3 linked regions of the Rattus norvegicus genome follow. The protein of the gene in region 3 interacts with the protein of the main gene of each other region in a biochemical or structural test. Links are inferred from orthologs where the notes say so. Each region holds a gene or a part of one and is shown on either strand. Other genes may lie near its edges. The genes, in order: Dusp10, Mef2a and Mapk14.

Region 1 (4,192 bases), on a different chromosome or scaffold from region 3:
TCTCTGAGCTAGAAGGGGGTAGGGTATAAAAAGCTCTATTGCTTTAGGATTCTTTGATGCAACTTCGTCACAGTTCATCTGGGCTTTTCCACTCCTTTGAATTCCAGAGTCACTCTTTTGCACCTTCCCTGATACTTTTCTGGCAAGGCGCTGGCAGGCTTGCCCAGCTTCCCACTTCTCTTCAGCGGACACATGCCACGACCATCTACTCCTCTGATGGACAAAGTTCGGGGAGCCGGGAGAGCTGGCGTGGGCCCTTCCATGCTCCTCAACCGCCGCTCATTCTGGCTGTACACCCCGAGCTCCGGCTCCTTCCCTCCAGCGCTTGCTGTTCCAGCCTGGCGCTCCTTGGCTCGCCGAGGGCCCTGCGCCACTGGGGGCCGGGGGCGGCCCAGCACCGGGGGACGGATGTATTGCGGGTTCCAAAACAACACGGCAGGGGAGGCGGCCGAGGAGGACACTGAGACTGGGGTGGGAGGAGGAGGTCGGTGCCGGGGCTGAGGGGTTTGAGGAGAGTTCGGAGGGCCCGGCCACGCCCAGCTCTGCGGGACGGCGCCCACGCTGCCGCTCAGCACGGGCCCCCACTGGCTGCCCGCACAGAGCCAGGCGTCCTCCTCCGTGTAGTTCTCTGGGGTGCAGCTTTCGGGTTCGGAGTCGGGCTCCTGAGAACAGACTGGGGACGGCGGAGGAGTGACAGGGGCACAGAAGTAGGGGAACAGAAGCACCGCGCGCAGCCGCCGCGCAGGAGAGCAGTAAGGTAGCCGGAGGGGCAGCGACATCTGCGGGCCGGGCCAAGCGGGGCTACGGGGAGGCCGGCCCTGTGCACGCTCACGTCCCGCGCGGCGCAGCTACAGCCATGGAGGGACCCTGTTTCGAGTCGTCTCTGGCCTCGGGAAAGTTGGACGGGCACTCTGCCTGGAATCAAAAGGTGGAAAGGAGACCCCGTGAGGCTGTGTCCGCACCAGGGGGCAGGGAAGGGTCAAAAGAACCAGTTTCAGCCAGAGCGACCAGAGCAAGCCATTGACACTTCAGTCCCGGGAAGGGTTAACCGCGTCCAGCTGCCTAGGTTTACATGTAAATAGAGAGCCGCTGCTCCAAGCGGGCCCGGGCTAGCACTTTTAAGTTTTTGATTGGTTGCCAATGACATCACCACCCGCGTTCTAACACACCAAACCCACAAGCGCGTCCGAGCCGGCCTCCATCCCAAGGCGAGGCCTCGCCCCTTTCTCCACCCTCCTTGGCCTCCTATTGGTCAGAGACCACTGTGATGTAGCGGGCGGCTGTCTCTGGGTCCTCACTGGCGCATTGTGCTGTCGCTCGGAGTCAGCCCCGCCTCCTCCAAAGCTTACATTTACGCTGTAGCAAAAGAGAAAGTAACTCTGTGTTGCTGCTGGGGATCAATGAAGCTGAGTGAATGGGGGCGCACTGCGCGAGCGCATAGCTGAAGCGGGCGCCAGATGGTAGAGGGCTACGCTTATTGATGAAGTAAGTGGAAGACATTACGGTCACTCAGAGCTGGAGGGCGGAAGGTTTTGTGTGTGTGTGTGTGTGTGTGTGTGTGTGTGTGTGTGTGTGTGTGTGTGTGAGAGAGAGAGAGAGAGAGAGAGAGAGAGAGAGAGAGAGAGGGGACTGAGACAGAGAGAGATAGACAGAAACAGAGACAGACCCACATCAGGCAAGGAAGATCCTAAGATTTAGGTTTTTGGGTCTGTTTGCCCTGGAATGAAGGGGGAAATGAGTTTTGGTTTGGTTAAGGTGCTTTATGGCAGTTTTCAAAGCCCAAGGCTTTGCTGATGCTCTGTGGTTGCATGGAAGAGAGATGCTACGTACCCCAGGAGTGGGGAATTTTTTCTTCAGTCCATGTTAGTGATGGAAGGGAGATTAGCAAGAAAGCGGGTAGGGGGGTAGTGCTATTTTTTTGTGGGAGGTTTCCCGGGCCAAACCGGATGGGTTTGGAGCTATCTGCTGCAAGGATGCAGATCTCCGTGCACTCTGCCTGTGTGCGAGCAGCACAGTGTAGAGGTACGGGTCCCAGCCTGTGTCTCTGGAAAGTCGTTCCTGGGTCCCCCTCCTAGGGAATGGGCTACTGATCCTGGATGTCCCTACCAGGTAGCACAATAGCAAAGACTTTGTCTGCATTTATGGTCCAGCCGAGACACAGTTACAGTTTCTGGAATAGTACTCGCTATGAAAAAAAAAAATACTACGCAAAGGAGGCAGGGAAAGAGGGAGGGAGGGATCCTTTGCTCCCAACCAAAGGTGGGTGAGAGAAACCGGAGTCAGTGGGGATATGCCTACACGGGTGGGTACGTGCTCCTGGGTGCGCGTGTGTGGATTTTCGCTGGTGACAATTTGGCTCGGTCTCAGAGAACAGTGCCGGTCATGAATAGACCGATGATTCTTGATGTTTTTCCAGACAGCTCTTAAAGTTCCTTTAGATGAGTGGCTTTTGCTTGGGGTTTGATTTCTCTATTAGACGAGTCAGAATTGCTATGTTATAGAGTGGCCTTCTGCCTGGGGGGAGGAGGTAAGTGACCCATTGCAGGCACCCTTGGAGGAGGCAGAGGTAACCCCTGTGGGCACTACTTCCTCGCTTCCCAATTAGCCTGTCTGTAGTAAAGGGACAAGTGAGGTGGCTCTCATCTTTGCTGTTTCCAAGAAGAATATCAGTACAGGACTGAGACATTTTTTACAAGTTCCCACTCCCATGGAGATGTAAAGTCTGCACTGCACTACCCAGGTGAAACTCAAGGGCCCCCCCTTTTTGCATAGGGGCACAGCACAGAGAGGGGTAAGGACAAGTGGGGTCACAGAGGAATGGGTCATGGGCCAGTTTCGGTTGGAGTTCGCAGACCTGACTCCCTTGGCCACTTGGTTTTTGGACAGTTATTCATAGTATAAGGGGAGCATGCAGCTTGATTTGATTTGGCAGAGGCTAGTGTAAGCTTTGAATAGGACGATGTTGAGCTTTTCAAAGGACTCGCCAGAATGGAAGGCACGATTAGCTCCTAGCCATGGAGATTGACATAGGAAGACACATTCCTTCAGATTTGCAGAAGGTTGACATCCAGCCCCTCATGTAAACGTAGTGCGTTTCTGTGCATCTCTGTGTGAGCTCTGAAAATGCTCTTGCCTGTCTCTCTGCCTTGGCTCTGGGGAAAGGAATACAGTAGATGCCAGGGTGGACAGATTCGTCCATCACAGGTCAAGTGGACTTCTGTGCAGGAGAGGAGGCTCAGAAGAAACCTAAGAGCCTCCCCGTCTGCCTTTAGTGCTTTCGGTCCTCTGCGCTTTTACCTTCACTGAGGCTGAACTTCGATGCAGGCCCACGAAAGTAGGTCTCTTAACCATTTCTGACGTCACGTCCGACTTTAAACTTTGGCTTAGCATCAGGATGGATGGGGTCCCTCAGGCATGCATCCTCTCTGAATATATCAAAGAGGATTTTTAGCCCGGGGATTGGATGAGACTGGCGCCCGTGTCATGTGACTGTTCTTTCTTTCTTCCTCTTCTCCACAGACTCTTGAGTTCTTCTTGAATCGCCAGTCTTCAGCCTACTCATGCCTCCGTCCCCTTTAGACGACAGGGTAGTAGTAGCACTGTCTAGGCCTGTCCGACCTCAGGATCTCAACCTTTGTTTAGACTCCAGCTACCTGGGCTCTGCCAGCCCAGGCAGCAATAACCACACTCCTGTCATTGCCACAGCCGTCGTGACCCTCAAGGCTGCGAATCTGACGTATATGCCCTCATCCAGCGGCTCTGCCCGCTCCCTGAATTGCGGATGCAGCAGCACTAGCTGCTGCACTGTGGCAACCTACGACAAGGATCATCAGGCCCAGACTCAAGCCATCGCTGCAGGCACTGCCACCACTGCCATAGGAACCTCGACCACCTGCCCTGCTAACCAGATGGTCAACAACAATGAAAATATAGGCTCTTTAAGTCCATCGGGCGGGGTGGGCAGCCCCGTGTCAGGGACTCCCAAGCAGCTAGCCAGCATCAAAATCATCTACCCCAATGACCTGGCGAAGAAGATGACCAAATGCAGCAAGAGTCACCTGCCCAGCCAGGGTCCTGTCATCATTGACTGCAGGCCTTTCATGGAGTACAACAAGAGTCACATCCAAGGAGCTGTCCACATTAACTGTGCAGATAAGATCAGCCGGCGGAGGCTGCAACAGGGCAAGATCAC
Region 2 (3,537 bases), on a different chromosome or scaffold from region 3:
TTCTCCAAAGCAAAGGAGAGAATGCAGATGAGCCTAAATGTTTTCAGCTCCCTTTCCTCAGAAAGCAAACTCAGAGATCATGCTGGGACACAATGGCTTATTCATCTGGCAGTGAGTGAGAAGGGAGCCTGCAGGTGCCATCTGCATTGTAGGGTTCCCTTGGTACCATCAGAGACTCTCCACATTTAATAAGAAAAGTTTTGCTCCACAGATCCCTTCAAGGAGCGCCTGGTTCCTCAGCACCCACACTGCTATCTAGAGCTCTGTTAAGAAGACACTCTCTCCTGACCCTTGTGTGAACATAAGCGAGGGTCATGGCAGGGCTTGTTCCTGACAGCCCACAAAGTCAAAGAGGACTGACACAAGTATGGGCAGGCCAAGTGCAAAAGATCAGGAAAATTCCCAGTTACTCACACTAGAGAGCTGAGGGCCGCTTGTCCTAGATGGTGCTGCTGCCAGGCTGAAGCCTGCCCCAGAGACAGCATTCCAGGGGAAGTAAAGCCTTGCAGGGCGGACAGGTCAGCGCTGGTCAATGAGTAATCTACAAAAGAAGGATATTATTACTACACAGATAAATATACCTGGCCCTTGGGAAAAGATAGACACTGGAACACTGTATTGAACCTGCATTGACAGGCGTTGATGCTCAGCAGGACAGGAAGGACGAACCATTTCTTGCTGAACGAATACACAACACAATCAACTACATTTGCTTCAGGAGCTCCCCGACTGCACATGTCACCTCAAATTCATGAACATCTTTCTATGACATACAAGTCATTTTCTACGAATGCTTCAGTCACAATTACTGTGACCAAGGCTTAGGTTGTTAGATACTGCTTACATGTACTTACTTTAATTCATCATCAACACAGGGTTTCCATTTAGTTCTGAAGAAAGGAGGCAGAGACTGCTACTTTTAACTTTTTTCTCATGTTTCAAAAAAGGTGTTTAAAGCAGTTGGTCCTCTAGCCTGATGTCTACTCTAGTAACCCTTCCAGTCCATAATTCTCTCTTGGCTTCTTGGCCTGTCCAGAGACCCACTTGACCATCTCCATAAACACCTTAATTCTGGCATAACCCAAACTGAACTCATGTTCTCAAAGCTGTCTTTCCTTTCTTGATAAGTTGCACCAACATACCCAATGGCTCATGCCAAGAAAAACCGAGTGTTCACATTATTTCTCTGCTGCATGCTTAACCTGAGCTATCAACAACTCTAGTCAATTCTACCTTGCTGTCCCTTTAGCTTGAGGAGGTTCCAATGTAATCTAATACTCTGGTCTAAGCCACCAGTAAACCATTACTTGGACCACTAAACAACCTTTCTACGACCTATTGGCACTCACTTAAAAGACAAGACTTGTTTTTATCATTTTAGTTATGTGTCTGGGTATCTGTACACATGAGTAAAGGTTCCCACAGAGGACAGAAGAGGGTGCTGGACTCCCCTGGAGCTGGAGTTACAGGCAGTTATAAGCTGCCTAAAGTGGGTGAGGGGTCCAAACATGGATCCTCTGCAAGACTAGCACCAAGTCTTAACCAAAGAGCCATCTCCTATGACCACTCGGCCATTAGAGCCAAAACTGACATGTCTGAAAACAACAATATGATCGTAATGCTCTGCAACATACCCAACAAATCCCACTCTTCCAGCTCAACTCTCACTGCCCTTCGTGTGACACTCACCTTGCTCTGGCTGGTGGCCTCCTGCCTATGTCCGTGCTGACACAATAGGAACAGGACTTTCCCAGTGCTAAGGGTCTTTCTTATGGCAGACCTCAGTTCCACTACAAGACTACACACTTTATTTACAGGGCCTGCCAGGGCACCTGTCAGACGTGCTAATGCTTTTTAAAGCTGGAGTGATGTTACTGAGGGCATGAGGAAGTGTCCATGAGACCACAGGCTATTTTTGAAAGTTGCTCCTTTATTCATATCTTTACTTACTGCCTGGCATGGTGGACTTGACACTAAGAATCTACAGAAAAAAAAAATATACACAATAATATGGGAAAAGAGAAAACACAAAAGGAAACAGCTATTCTAGGGAGGAGAATGACAGTGACCTCAGATGGAATGAGACTCATGCTTAGTCATGATTTTAAGGGCGCCCGACTCCACCCACTTTTTATGTGTTTCAGTAATTCCTTGGAGACTCGGTAAAAATATATGTATGCAATATTAAAAAGTGCTTATACATATATACATTCTTTAGAAACTAATGGTGTTTTTAAAAACGAGTAGTATCACAGTAGAATTTTGAGAATGCTGGAAGGCATGCAATGAGGCACACAGAATACTGCAGTCTAACTCTGATACTCAATCCACACTGGGCCTCCTCAGCGACACGCATCTGTGTACCCAACCTCTCTAGCTCCCTTCTTTCCTAGCTTCTCAACCTCAGCACAAACTAGAAAGTCTAACAGTGCAGAACTTTCCTACAAATGCTGACCAACTAAGCTGTGTCTGCTCCTCATCTGTAAAAAAGATCTGCCCTTAACTCAAAATCTCTTCTGCAGCAAGTAACTGATGAACTCGAACAGAATTTCTCTAAGTGTTCAAGCTCTGGTCTTTTCTGAAATTAGTTCTGTGCAAGACAAACAATGGGCTACAATTCACAGGCTACTAAGCATCTGATAGACTGGAGCAGTTTGTTTTCATACAGGTACCTGGGAAGGTAAAGGTCATCCCCTAGGCTTTGCCAACAAGACCATTACAAGTTGTTTGGAAAGAACTAGCCCTGGAGTTAAAGTGCCAATCAGAGGTATAAACTGCTTGACCCTCCAGGTAGCCCCACATAGCAGTTTTAGTACTGATGCCAAAGCATTTACTCTGAAGTCTAAAATTAGGTGATCTCCGCCACAGTCCACTTCTGAGCGTCATAAAGGAGACTCTTTTTTTTTTTTTTTTTAAGATTTTATTTATAAGTGAGTACCCTGTCACTCTCTTCAGACACACCAGAAGAGGGCATCAGATCTCATTACAGATGGTTGTGAGCCACCATGTGGTTGCTAGGAATTGAACTCAGGACCTCTGGTAGAGCAGTCAGTGCTCTTAACCACTGAGCCATCTCTCCAGCCCCGCGATGCAGCCTTCTGATGACAGAAAAGGTGTTCTTTCTTTTTTTTCCTCCGTCCGTCCGTCCGTCCGTCCATCCATCCTTCCTTCCTTCCTTCCTTTCCCAGAGCCACAGGAATTTGGCCCAAATGGGGAGAAAGTGAAACTGCATGTGCTTTCTACCTGTCTTAGAATGATAGACCCAATAGTGAACTCTCTGCTGTACACCAGTTCTTCATATGGGCCATCTGGCTAGGCTAGCAGCATCCCTCCCCATCACTGGGATCCTCCTTATCTCTCTCTGTGTCTGTCTGTCTGTATCTGTGTCTCTCTCGTCTCTCTTTGTGTGTGTGTGTGTGTGTGTGTGTGTGTGTGTGTGTGTGTGTGTGTGCGCTTCAAGACCAGGGGGTTCTCTGTAAAGCCCTGGCTGTTTTGGAACTCACTCTGTAGAACAGCTAGCCTTGAACTCAGAGATCT
Region 3 (4,320 bases):
TTAATAAATGTCCGAAGCCCTCGTCGTTTCCCCAAACTTCCAAAGGCGTGGATTCTTTAAATTTCTCATGAATTATGTCTTTAAAATCCTCTCAATTTAAGTTCTTTTTTTTTTTTCTTCTTTTTTTTTTTTTTTTTAAAGATTTATTTAGCCGTCTTCAGGCACACCAGAAGAGGGCATCAGATCTCATTACAGATGGTTGTGAGCCACCATGTGGTTGTTGGGAATTGAACTCAGGACCTCTGGAAGAGCAGTCAGTGCTCTTAACCACCGAGCCATCTCTCCAGCTCCCTCAATTTAAGTTCTTAAAATTCTCCCAATTTTTCCTTTAAATTTCTAAATTTTGGATGGTTCTAAATTGGCAGGAGTCGGTCTCGAACCGGAGTCATGGGCTTTGGGGTGTTCCAGATATGGTCTCATAACAGCCCAGGCAGGTCTCTTAACTACTCACTATATAGCAGAGGCTGGTCTCCTGGTCTTTCCAAACGCTGGAATTACAGGCTACGTAAATCTAAATAAATACATCAAATATATGAGAAGGGTCTCTTGGTCTTTCCAGATGCTAGAATCACAGGCTGTATAAATCTAAATAATTCAGTAAATAAATAAAATCAAATACATGAGACGGGTCTCCTGGTCTTTCCAAACGCTGGCATTACAGGATGTGTACATCTAAATAAGTAAAATAAATGAGAAACTTTCCTGAAATGGAATGACCTACCTGCAGAGAGAGAGAGAGAGAGAGAGAGAGAGAGAGAGTGTGTTTCCCTTCCAGTCATGGGTATCGAACCCAGGGCCTTGCAAACGCAGGTCTCAGCCTCAAAGTGGCCATTCCTGACGTCCACCTCTGACCTTGTGCATCGGACTCCCTAGTGGGTCCCTGGAACCTCCTCCTACACCTTCCACGGTGGTTCTTCTGGTGAGGACATTTAGAAGCTGCTAGGAGCGTCCGGCGGGAGGGAGAGCCTGGGCTTTGAGACCGGGTTAATGTTTGCCTGGGTGGGGAGGGGGACAGGTTTCATCAGCGTCCCGAGATAAGCCACGCGTCCTTGAGCGGATGGGAACGCAACAGCTTTCTGGACAGGGCCAGTCTGCTCTTGCAAATCTTTCTTGGAAATCGCCGGCTCCGGTGAGCAGGTGGCTCGGAGCTCAAAGACCGCTTGGCTCTCTTTCCCCCCCCCGACGCCGTCCCAGTGGTTTTCCGCCACGGCGCCGGGCATTCGCCGGTCCGACCACAGAGAGGCGCGCGCGGCCTACGCTGCGGTCCGCCCCCACCCTCGGCGCCCCCCGGGAGCAGAGTCTCCCCTAGAGTTCCTGCCTCAGCTCCCGGAGCCGTGTCTCTCTTCTCGCGAGATCTTCCCGTCCCGCGCGCTCTTCTCGAGCACCCCCGCCCCACGGGCAGGTTCCATATTGGGTAAGATCTCGGCTCGCGGAGCTGTTCTCGCGAGAGTCCTGCTAGAGCCTCCCCGGCCGCTGCCTGCGGGGAGAGGGGGGAGATCGCGGCCACTGGAGCCCGAGCGGGCGCTAGAGCGCGAGCGGCTGTCGCGCAGCGTCGGCGTGCGCTCCCCAGGGAGCGGCTGCAAGGGGACCGCGGCGGGAGCTGCGTCGAACCGTGCAGCCGGCTCCCGCTCGTTGCCGAGGCTCGTAGGTGCCGCCGCGGCTGACAGGAGCCGTGGGTCGCAGCCTCCACACCTGCGCGGGCGCGGGGTCGGGTCTGCCGCGGGCGAGCGAGAGGGCGCAGAGGAGAGCGTGCGGCTGCAGGCAGGGGCCCTCGCTCGGCCACCTCGTCGCCGCGCTGCCGCCGCTGGAAGATGTCGCAGGAGAGGCCCACGTTCTACCGGCAGGAGCTGAACAAGACCGTCTGGGAGGTGCCCGAGCGATACCAGAACCTGTCCCCGGTGGGCTCGGGAGCCTACGGCTCGGTGTGGTGAGTGTCGCCGGGCTTGGGGTTGGGGGCGGGGGTGGGAGGGAACGTGGTGGAGCAAGCAGGGTGGCCCTGCATGCCTGAGCGCCAGGCCTGTCCCCACAGCTCAGCGATGCGCCCAGCGGCAGGAATTCTCCTGCGGGCGTGTCTTGGGGGTGCAGGGGGCAGTTGGAGCGGGACGTGTCCTGCACCCCTCGCCCTGCACACTCAGGTGGGTGGGGAACCGTGTGCGGGATCGGGTCAGCCGTGGGCGCGGTGTGATGGGGCTCCACCCTGTGCTCTCCATGCTCGCAAGATCGTTCCTCCCGGGGGTCCCTCTGCAGCCGTGCGGCCTCTGGACCCTGCCTCCGGGTACCGCCACTTGGCACGCAGGAGCCCTGCCCCGGGGAGCGGGCGAGCTGGGCGCAGCTCCGGCGAGGAGCAGTAGGTCAAAGCCTGACCCGGGGACTGCGGTCACCTGAACGAAACTTGCAAGAAAAAGCGCTCCCTTTCCCGGAATTTTTTTTTCTCTTTCTCAGTTTTTCCCTCCCATTTAACCATTTTTGCAAGCTTCGGTCGAAAAACCCAGAATCGGGAAACGTTCTTTTGGGATTCGCACCTGAATTAGCAGCACCCCGAAGGGCTTAAAATAATACCGACTTTATCTCGGGGACCGCGGGGTGCCAGCTTGCCGTGGTGTGTTTCCGATTCGGTTGAAAGCGTATTTCCTTTTCGGGGAGGGAGGGTGGCAGTGCCTGCAAGGACGCTCCAGCTCTCAGCTTAGTCACACAGCGCTGCTCAGTTCAGTATTGTTTGACAAAACCAGTTTTCCATACGGAGCCAGAGTGGTTCTGATCTGTTGGGCGCCCCTCAAAGATCAAAAAGGTGGGACCGAGTGCTGGAGTTGTAAATGGTTTTTAATTGGGATGCTTTTCTTTCTTTAAGCCCCTTAGAAGATTTGCAGGGGGCTTTAAGCTTGTAAGCACCGAGGCACATGGGGGTTTTTCGGGAGAACCTGGCCGCAGAAAACGATGCCTTTCAGCTTTCATTAACACTTCGGCTTTTTGTTTGAGTTCGTTTGAGACAGAGTCTCACTATGGATGGCCCTGTCTGGCCTGAGCCTCAGTGGCTAGACCAAAGCCTGGCCTGGAACTCAACAAATTTTGTCTCCTGCCAGCGCTGAGAATAAAGGCATTTGCTACCACACAAGGCCCTGGGAGCAGGTTTCAGATTAAATTTATACAGTCAAAGGTCCACTCCAGAAATGTCAGGGACTTTCAAGGATTCATATAGTCTCATTTATTGGGACTCAGTGTCAGTTTAGACCTCCCTATCTGAAAGTAAAGACCAGACTCAACAGACTAGACTCTTCTGCGTTTTAGTGATTTATATTCACGTTTCCCTGAAAGAGCCTGTGAAATGTTTTTTTTCCCCCCCTTTGGAACAAATTCTAGGCTTCTGGATGTGTTAATCTTTAAGTATGAATCCTGTGTTACTTAAAGTCACATCGTGAATTTCCTGTTTGGTAGAATCTTCCTGGTAATTGCGATTGTGCAACCATGTCCGGCAACAGATCATATTGCGTTTGCTCGTTGGAGCTGCCTAGGCTGTGCTGCTGATAGCACCAGCCCTGACCTCTTTCCCCCAAGTTTACAGACTGGCAGTTTGCATTTTAAAGGGGATGTCAATAATTTACATCCCGTGTTTGTGATTGGTTTGTTTCTCTAGTACTCACCAGCTCCCTCAGTATCTCCAGTCTTCATTGCTCACTGTTACAGCATCAGGCTTTTGTCCCCATTTGGATGCTTGGGAAGGATGGAGCAGAACTCAGGGCTTCTGGGAGAGGGAACTTGCAGGGTTTCCTAGGGCCACTGCTGCCCTGGCAGAAGAGCCAGCTTTACAGTGACTTGCCACAGTGAAACCAACACCACTTCCTCTAGTGCTGTTACTTTCTTGCAATGGGATTGAGCACAGCCTCCCAATGAGATAGACTTCTACCAAACAGTTTCTTTTTTTTTTTTTTGGTTCTTTTTTTCGGAGCTGGGGACCGAACCCAGGGCCTTGCGCTTCCTAGGTAAGCGCTCTACCACTGAGCTAAATCCCCAGCCCTTACCAAACAGTTTCTTGAACATAGGTAGTGCTGGCCTAGTGATGTAACCATGGCACAGTCCTGGCCTTACACTGCAGCAGTGCACAGCACAAAGCAGGTCGCTTGAAATAAGGGTCAAAGAGGTCTGCAGCAAAAAAAAACAAAACAAAAAAGAAAAAACCCTGCTTTCAGCCCTGCCTTCTAGTCTGTCAGTTCCTTGCCTGTCTTCCAGAGACACAGACATTTTTTTTTTAAATTTTTAACATTTATTTATTTATTATGTATACATCATACAGCTTTCTGCCTGCATGTATGCACCTGCAGGCCA

What was found.
Region 1: the proteins of Mapk14 (region 3) and Dusp10 form a complex in vitro, tested with the Homo sapiens proteins (2 studies listed by BioGRID, with this or other methods). The link is inferred for Rattus norvegicus from reciprocal best matches to the Homo sapiens genes MAPK14 and DUSP10.
Region 2: of the proteins of Mapk14 (region 3) and Mef2a, one has a biochemical effect on the other in vitro, tested with the Homo sapiens proteins (2 studies listed by BioGRID). The link is inferred for Rattus norvegicus from reciprocal best matches to the Homo sapiens genes MAPK14 and MEF2A.

The regions. Positions count from the first base shown.
Region 1 is NC_086031.1:98,144,523-98,148,714, forward strand, and holds the start of Dusp10 (dual specificity protein phosphatase 10), read left to right. Parts: upstream 1-1,370; 5' UTR 1,371-1,485; intron 1,486-3,519; 5' UTR 3,520-3,560; coding exon 3,561-4,192. UniProt on the Homo sapiens protein: Protein phosphatase involved in the inactivation of MAP kinases. Has a specificity for the MAPK11/MAPK12/MAPK13/MAPK14 subfamily. It preferably dephosphorylates p38.
Region 2 is NC_086019.1:130,263,152-130,266,688, forward strand, and holds part of Mef2a (myocyte-specific enhancer factor 2A), read right to left. Parts: intron 542-3,537; coding exon 415-541; intron 1-414. UniProt on the Homo sapiens protein: Transcriptional activator which binds specifically to the MEF2 element, 5'-YTA[AT](4)TAR-3', found in numerous muscle-specific genes. Also involved in the activation of numerous growth factor- and stress-induced genes.
Region 3 is NC_086038.1:6,749,868-6,754,187, forward strand, and holds the start of Mapk14 (mitogen-activated protein kinase 14), read left to right. Parts: upstream 1-1,491; 5' UTR 1,492-1,811; coding exon 1,812-1,927; intron 1,928-4,320. UniProt on the Homo sapiens protein: Serine/threonine kinase which acts as an essential component of the MAP kinase signal transduction pathway.